2 linked regions of the Callithrix jacchus genome follow. The protein of the gene in region 1 purifies or fractionates together with the protein of each later gene. This does not show direct contact. Links are inferred from orthologs where the notes say so. Each region holds a gene or a part of one and is shown on either strand. Other genes may lie near its edges.

What was found.
Region 2: the proteins of RBBP6 (region 1) and SRPK2 purify together in Homo sapiens (affinity purification with mass spectrometry; 4 studies listed by BioGRID and IntAct, with this or other methods). This does not show direct contact. The link is inferred for Callithrix jacchus from reciprocal best matches to the Homo sapiens genes RBBP6 and SRPK2.

The regions. Positions count from the first base shown.
Region 1 is NC_133513.1:25,147,785-25,151,606, forward strand, and holds part of RBBP6 (E3 ubiquitin-protein ligase RBBP6), read left to right. Parts: intron 1-1,064; coding exon 1,065-1,168; intron 1,169-1,284; coding exon 1,285-1,622; intron 1,623-2,974; coding exon 2,975-3,071; intron 3,072-3,170; coding exon 3,171-3,249; intron 3,250-3,345; coding exon 3,346-3,400; intron 3,401-3,822. UniProt on the Homo sapiens protein: E3 ubiquitin-protein ligase which promotes ubiquitination of YBX1, leading to its degradation by the proteasome.
Region 2 is NC_133512.1:75,525,420-75,529,241, forward strand, and holds part of SRPK2 (SRSF protein kinase 2), read right to left. Parts: intron 2,958-3,822; coding exon 2,932-2,957; intron 964-2,931; coding exon 717-963; intron 158-716; coding exon 1-157. UniProt on the Homo sapiens protein: Serine/arginine-rich protein-specific kinase which specifically phosphorylates its substrates at serine residues located in regions rich in arginine/serine dipeptides, known as RS domains and is involved in the phosphorylation of SR splicing factors and the regulation of splicing.

The sequences.
Region 1 (3,822 bases):
GCCTGCTATGGCTTTTTTCATTCTTAAAGGTAGTTTTGAAATATACAGCCCTCCATACACATGGTTCTGCACCTGCAGATTCAGCCAACCACAGATGAAAAATATTTGGGGGGAAGAAACAGTAAAAAATAATACAATCGTAAAGACGAATACAGATTTTAAAATATAGTATAACAAATATTTGCATAGCACTTATATTGCAGCAGGTATTATAAGCAATCTAGAGATTATTTAAAGTATGCTGGAAGATGTACATAGTAGTTATATACAAATACTATGCCTTTGAGGTAGTTGAGGGACTTGAGCATCTGCAGATTTTGTTATCCTCAGAGGGTCCTGGAATCTCTCCCCTTCAGATACCTGTAAATCTTTGTTTTTTGACCTCTTCGGTGAAAAGGCCAAGGTCAAGAAGAAGTTGGTAAAGACTTGTTTCAGAGTATATCTTAGATTTAACAAACCACTTGATATTCCTGGAGCTTTATTACATTGAAGCATGATCTTCATATCTGTAATTTAGTGTTGCTCTCACTTGCTGTGCTGTAGGTCTCATTTCCTTGCCTGAATGAAAACCCCAAGTTAGCCATGTAAAAGTTTTGTCTTTCTAGACTGACTCATATTTCTATTTTGTTTTCTACAATATTCCATTTACTACCTAAACAAAGAATAGTATTTGAGAAAGTGCTTTTGCTCTCAGTTCAGACATTTATTTAAATGTGTCCTTTTAGGGAAAAAAAAAAAAATAGTGGAGGTCCTTGCTATTTTCCCCAAGTCTGGCCTTGAACTTCGGGACTCAAGTGATTCTCCTGTCTCAGCCTCCCAAGGTGGCATCCTGTCTCAGGCCACCACACCCAGCTATGACTTCTCTTTTTTTAGCATAGCATAGATCATAGAGAAAAGAGCAGAGGAGTACTTATAAGATAAGAGATTTTACTTAAGAAATGAGTAGCACGACGTGCTTGGAAACCAGTAATGTAACAGAACAATTGTAGGCCATCCTTTTAATTCATTCTGTAAACACTGAGTTCCTACCATGTTTTTATTAATATTTGAAATCTTACACATAGGTATAAGAACAGCACTCCTGGAATCAGATGAGCATACATGTCCAACTTGTCATCAAAATGATGTTTCTCCTGATGCTTTAATTGCCAATAAATTTTTACGACAGGTAGCTATCTTTTATATCCATTTTATGAAAAATTTCTTTTTAATCTTTAACTGATTTAACTGTACTTCAGTGAATACTACATAATATTTTTCTGCATTATTATGCTTGGTCCTTAGGCTGTTAATAACTTCAAAAATGAAACTGGTTATACAAAAAGACTACGAAAACAGTTACCTCCTCCACCACCCCCAATACCACCTCCAAGACCACTGATTCAGAGAAACCTACAACCTCTGATGAGATCTCCAATATCAAGACAACAAGATCCTCTCATGATTCCAGTGACATCTTCATCAACTCACCCAACTCCTTCTATATCTTCATTAACTTCTAATCAGTCTTCCTTGGCCCCTCCTGTTTCTGGAAATCCATCTTCTGTTCCAGCTCCTGTACCTGATATAACTGCAACAGTATCCATCTCAGTCCATTCAGAAAAATCAGATGGACCCTTTCGGTAAGCCTATGTATTTTTCACTGTTAGAAACCAAATGAGGTCAATGATGTTAGGTTTTGTTGTTGGGTATCACTTTAATAGCTTTCTTTTTTTTTTTTCTTTTTTTTGAGAGGAAATCTCGTTCTGTCACTCAGGCTGGAATGCAGTGTCACAATCTTCGCTCACTGCAACCTCTGTCTCCCGGCTCAAGTGATTCCTTGCCTCAGCCTCCCAAGTAGCTGGGACTGCAAGGTGTGTGCCACCACACCCAGCTAATTTTTGTATTTTTTGTAGAGATGGGGTTTTACCATGTTGCTCAGGCTGGTCTTTTTTTTCTTTTTTTAACTGCAGCAACTTTAATATAGGTCAGGCTGGTCTTGAACTCCTAACCTTGTGATCCACGCACCTCAGCCTCCCAAAGTGCTGAGATTACAGGCCTGAGCCACCACGCCTGACTTTAATAGCTTTCTTAGTGGACCACTGTGTTCAGTAACATGGGATGACTTGTAAGAAATGACTTAGTCTTATTGCGGGAAGAGGAAAATAAAGGTGATTTCATTTGGCAAATGATGATTAAGCGTGCCAAGGTCAAATACTACACAGGTTGCCAGCAAGCCCCTGTTTAACGTTAAATGTACTGTATACCATAACAACTCTGAACTTCAGAGGTGGGAGAATTCACTTGGGTGATGGTATTGAATAGGAGTAGATTTGAGTAGAACAGTTTGGATAGGTAGAGACAAGGGGGTAAAAACAGGTAAGTAGAGAACTCAGGAAAGTGATTGGGGGCATAAGTAATGTAGGAGAATAGTGAAAACTATTAAAGCCTACCACTTCAGAAATGAGACTTTTGTCCATGTAGCTTAATGGCTTGTAAATTCTTTAAAAAAAATAGGTATCAGAGGCCCATTTCAGACATATGAAGCAAAATCTTTAGGATGAGACCTTTACATACACATTTAAGAAATTCTAATCTAGTGGAATTTGTTTGGTTGATAGTGGGAATAGGCTCAGAGAGTTCTGTGGCTGACCCAAGATTATCCTTTTAGTTTAGTGATAGAACTAGAGCTAAAACACTCCTAATCCTAGGGGGATTTTTGTCTCCATAGGCCACACTTTGATTAAGTTTTACTCTTCTTGCAACTGATTTCTGTCATAACTATCATATCTTCTTAGGGAGGGTCCTTCATTATACTTTTCCACTTACATATAGAGAACTCTTCAAAGTTTCAGTCCTCTCCCACGTTCCTCAAAAGTAGTCATCATCTTTGACTCATCTTACTGCAGGTGATGGATAAACAGCAACAAACTTTTTTACTCTTAATTGTCCATTTCTGATAATTTTTAATGTATTGTAATTTATATTTTTTAAGGGATTCTGATAATAAAATATTGCCAGCTGCTGCTCTTGCATCAGAGCACTCAAAGGGAACCTCCTCAATTGCAATTACCGCTCTTATGGAAGAGAAGGTAAATTTTATTTTTTTATAGTAGGGTTTTGTTTTTACCTCTTCTTTTTTTTTTTTTTTTTTTTTAACCATTTCTGTTTATTTGTGGTTGTTTCTGAAGGGTTACCAGGTGCCTGTTCTTGGAACCCCATCTTTGCTTGGACAGTCATTATTGCACGGACAGTTGATCCCCACAACTGGTGAGTAAGATCACTTTTAGACTTTAAAAAATAATTTTAGCTTGATTTAATAGGTAACTTTATATGTACCTTACTGTTTTGATTTTTTGTTTCTAGGTCCAGTACGAATAAATACTGCTCGTCCAGGTGGTGGTCGACCAGGGTGGGAACAGTGAGTAGATATTTACAATATTTTGTAATTATTGCAGAGTAATTGCCTGCAAACTAGATAACGGAAGCTTCAAACCAGGCAGCGGGTTGCTGCTCTTTATTATAAACTTTCATGTGCCAGATTAACAGAATTCAAGCTTATATGAGTTTTTTTTTTTTAATGAGTAAATCCTTTCTAAAATACAAAATCTTAGAAGTTTTTTTCTACTTTCATGTCAGTTAATGAGTAGGATTAGAATTACAGAAAAGTTATTTTAAATATGGCATCAGTTATTTTCCTGGTAGGTTTAACTTTTTTATCCTTAATTTGGATGATAAAGTTTGGTTTGAGTACATAAATACATAATAAGATTAAATCTACCAAACAAAAATTTGTTGTTTTAAGTCATGTCTTATTCCACAGGATATGTTTTTTCCACCCTG
Region 2 (3,822 bases), on another chromosome or scaffold:
TCCAATAAGAACGGGCCATTCTCAATATGGCCATTGGTTTTAGGTGATTCTATCCACGTAGGGTCTATGTTTGCAAGTTCCTGATCTACATCATCATCATCTTTTTCAATGTTTTCTTTCTCAGTGTCTTCTTTCTCTTCCTGGTCCTCGGCTTCACCTTAAGAAGTTGATGGGTCAAGAATTAGAACTTGTTACTCTCCTTAATACAACCTCACATCTCATCAATAAAATACATTTTGAATGTGCTTAACTTATGCACCTCATAGTAAACACCTCTCAGCTTTTGGAGTAAAACCTTCAAGTTTTCAAAATCTCATTTTTGGTTCATTAATAATTGGCCTGCTCTTATAAGAAAAAGTTAGCTTTGGGAGAAAAAAACTCTTTCTAAATAAAGCTGCACTTCCATTTCCACCCTCTACAATCTTCAGAAATAGATTTGTGGTGTACTACAGTTAGGTAAAAAGTTAATGACAAAATAAAGCACCATCTTTAGCATGATAGAAACATGGTGTTTCTCAGACATTCTACATTTTTAAAAACTATTTTGAAATGTTGTATTTCTGGCATACAGTTCACAAATGAATTATAAGGATGTTTCCCGAATTTCCCAATAGAGACTTGGAGAGAATCATCCTTGCCATCTGAAGCAGCAGCACAAATCAGCCCCCATTGTAACCTGAGGACCCCATGCAGCCCAGGCTCTTGGCCCCACTAACCGTTGTCCTTTGTGGTCTCTGCCTCGGCTGCCTCCTCTAATCCTGTTGTTTTTAGTTTCACCTCTGGGCCATATTCACTATCCTGCTCATTGGAAGGTGCAGCTGAAGTGATGTTTTCTTCTATTATTTTCCTTTCAGCTTCTCGCTCCAATTCTTCTATCTCCTGCAGGCGTTTTTCCAATAACTCAGCCTGCCTCTTCTGTTTCTTTTTCAGTTTTTTCTTTTTGTTTTTAGATATTTTTCCTATCTATAACATGTTAAGAAAAGACCACAGGTCAGTTTTCTTCTTTTTAAAGCACACATGATAGTATAACTGCTGGCAGCATGGCAACTAACAAAAAACTCCGCTTTCTCATGCCATATTCTACTAAAATCCCAAACCCAGACATCCACCTCATGGTAAGGCTTATGGTAAAATCAAAGGGAAAGCAGTGCTGACTGATATCACATGCTAGGTCTACTACCAGGTCCTGCCCTCAGAGGGATACAGCTTAAATCCAGTAAGCCTTCACCATTCAAACTCTCAGAGAACTGAAGTCCAAAATTCTCTTGGCCTTAGAGAAGCTCCTCTTGGAAGTTTTATTTGCTGCCCTCTATATACAAAATAACAACATCCCATCTCCTCACTACCAAAAATGAAACAGGTGCCCAAGCAGGTGTATGTCACTGTGTTTGGGTCTCACATATGTCTTGGAAGCTCTTACCAGCCAAGACAACATGAACTGTAAGAGATAAGCCTAAGCAGCAATGTGAAAGAAGAAAAAGCCACAGCTTTTGTTTGCCTCCCATCATGGCCAGCTGACTTGCAAAGCACTGGCAAGGAGAGCCTCCAATCCTTCATACAGTAAACTCAGGTGGCTTGAGCCAGGGAAGAACTATGGGAAACAACTTGGGCTCCTCAGCAAGCCAGGAAGCCTAATTATTACAGCTCCCTCTTGTTCCAGAACTTACGTTCCAAATCAAGGGTTGTCTCAGTAAACATAGTGTTTTCTTGTTATTTTGTTTTTTGTTGTTGTTTTCTTTTTCTTTGAGATGGGGTCTTGTTCGGTTGCATAGGCTGGAGTGCACTGGCGTGACTTTGGCTCACTGCTACCTCCATTTCCTGGGTTCAAGTGTTTCTCATGCCTCAGCCTCCCATGTAGCTGGGAGTACAGGTACATGCCATCATGCCCGGCTGATTTTTTTTTTTGAGACAGAGTCTCACTCAGTCACCCAGGATGGAGTCCAATGGCCTAATCTCAGCTCATTGCAACCTCCCCCTCCTGGGCTCAACAGATTCTCCTGCCTCACCCTCCTGAGTAGCTGAGATTACAGGCATCCGCCAGCACACTCGGCTAGTTTTTGCATTTTTTGGTAGAGACAGGGTTTCACCATGTTAGCCAGGGTGGTCTCGAAGTCCTGACCTCAAGAGATCTGCTGGCCTCAGCCTCCCAAAATGTTGGAATTACAGGTGTCAGCCACCACACCTGGTACCTAGTACTGACATAGTGTTTTGACAGGACTACAAACTATCTCTTTCTTATTTAACATCTGGCTGGAAAAAAATTAGAACAACAGCTTCGGAAAAGGTAACTTAGCAGCCAATCAGAAATAATATAAAGTGGTTTTGAAATAAAAGTGCTTCAACTCCACCACCTCACATTTCATTAGACTTGGCCAACCGTAGTCCAGAAAATGCATAAAGAAGACAATCATTGAAAGGCTCTAACCATTCCAATTCTGCAGAGATCCCTAAAACTTAACGAGACAGGCCAGGTGTGATGGCTCATGCATGTAATCTCAGAACTTTGAGAAGCCAAGATGGGAAGATCACTTGAGGTCAGGAATTCGAGACCAGCCTGACCAACATGGTGAAACTCCATCTCTACTAAAAGTACAAAAATTAGCTGAGCATGGTGGTGGGTGCCTGTAATCCCAGCTACTCGGAAGGCTGAGGCAGGAGAATCGTTTGAACCTGGGAGGGGGAGGCTGCAGTGAGCCAAGATCGCAACACTGCATGCCAGCCTGAGCAGTAATGCAAGACTCAGTCACATACACACACAAAATCCAAAAAACACTTAACAAGACAGTAAGTCTTAAATATTTGAGGATACACAGCATTTATAAATGTGTCTACCCTTTAAATTAATATATACTACCACTTTTTAATAATTTGAACTGCTCAAACAGTTTCTTTTGCCATGGTGCATAAAAGTAATATGCGTTAAGTACTTACAGGTTTCTGCTGTGGAGCCGTACTCACTAAAATAAAATGAAACAAAATTGGTATTTAGCAGAAAACAGACACATACCTTCATGCAGGTCATTTGGATTGCAAAATGACATAATTATTATCTTTTAATGACTATCCAACTTCACAAACATATTAATCAGAGCTTCGTAATCACTGGGATCTAGAGAAAGTTTATGCAACTGAAACAAACAACGGACTCTTAAAATGCATAGCAGAAAAGTTGTTCATACTGAGCCATTTCTTTTATTTATCTAAAATGAAATACTAATACATCTCAAAAACAGTCAATCCCAAAGCACCAACAGATAGCTTAAGAAAATGGAAAATAATTCATACATATCACAGTCATTAAACCAAATTTGTTATAAATAAAATGAAATAAACAATTTAGATTAGATGTACATTTATATTTGAAATCTATTTTGCAAGCTTTCTACAATTTAAATCAAATACTGCAGTTGGTATGCAGCTAATATTCTAGAAATCACATGATTAAACCCTATCAGGGCCATAAGTTTGACAGTCTGGGTCCATGATCTAAACAACACCTGCAGTAGAGGAGATGTGAAGAGAGCCCCAGGCAGTCTCCAGAGTCTCAGCCCTTTACTATCTATGCTTGCCTGACAACACAAGGGCACAGACAATGTTGAAGATCCACAAAAGCACAGTCCACATTTCACTGCACCCCCACCAGAAATAAAGATATGCCAATACTCAGGTCACTTGGTCTTCTTCCCCCACCATCAGGCCTTTTCTAACTAACTCCAAATCCACTGATAAAACTCAGATTGACGTAGCTATGACAAATGGACAATAGGAATTACTGTAACATAACTGAAGCTAGAAAAATATTCTGATGACTAAAAGTCAGCT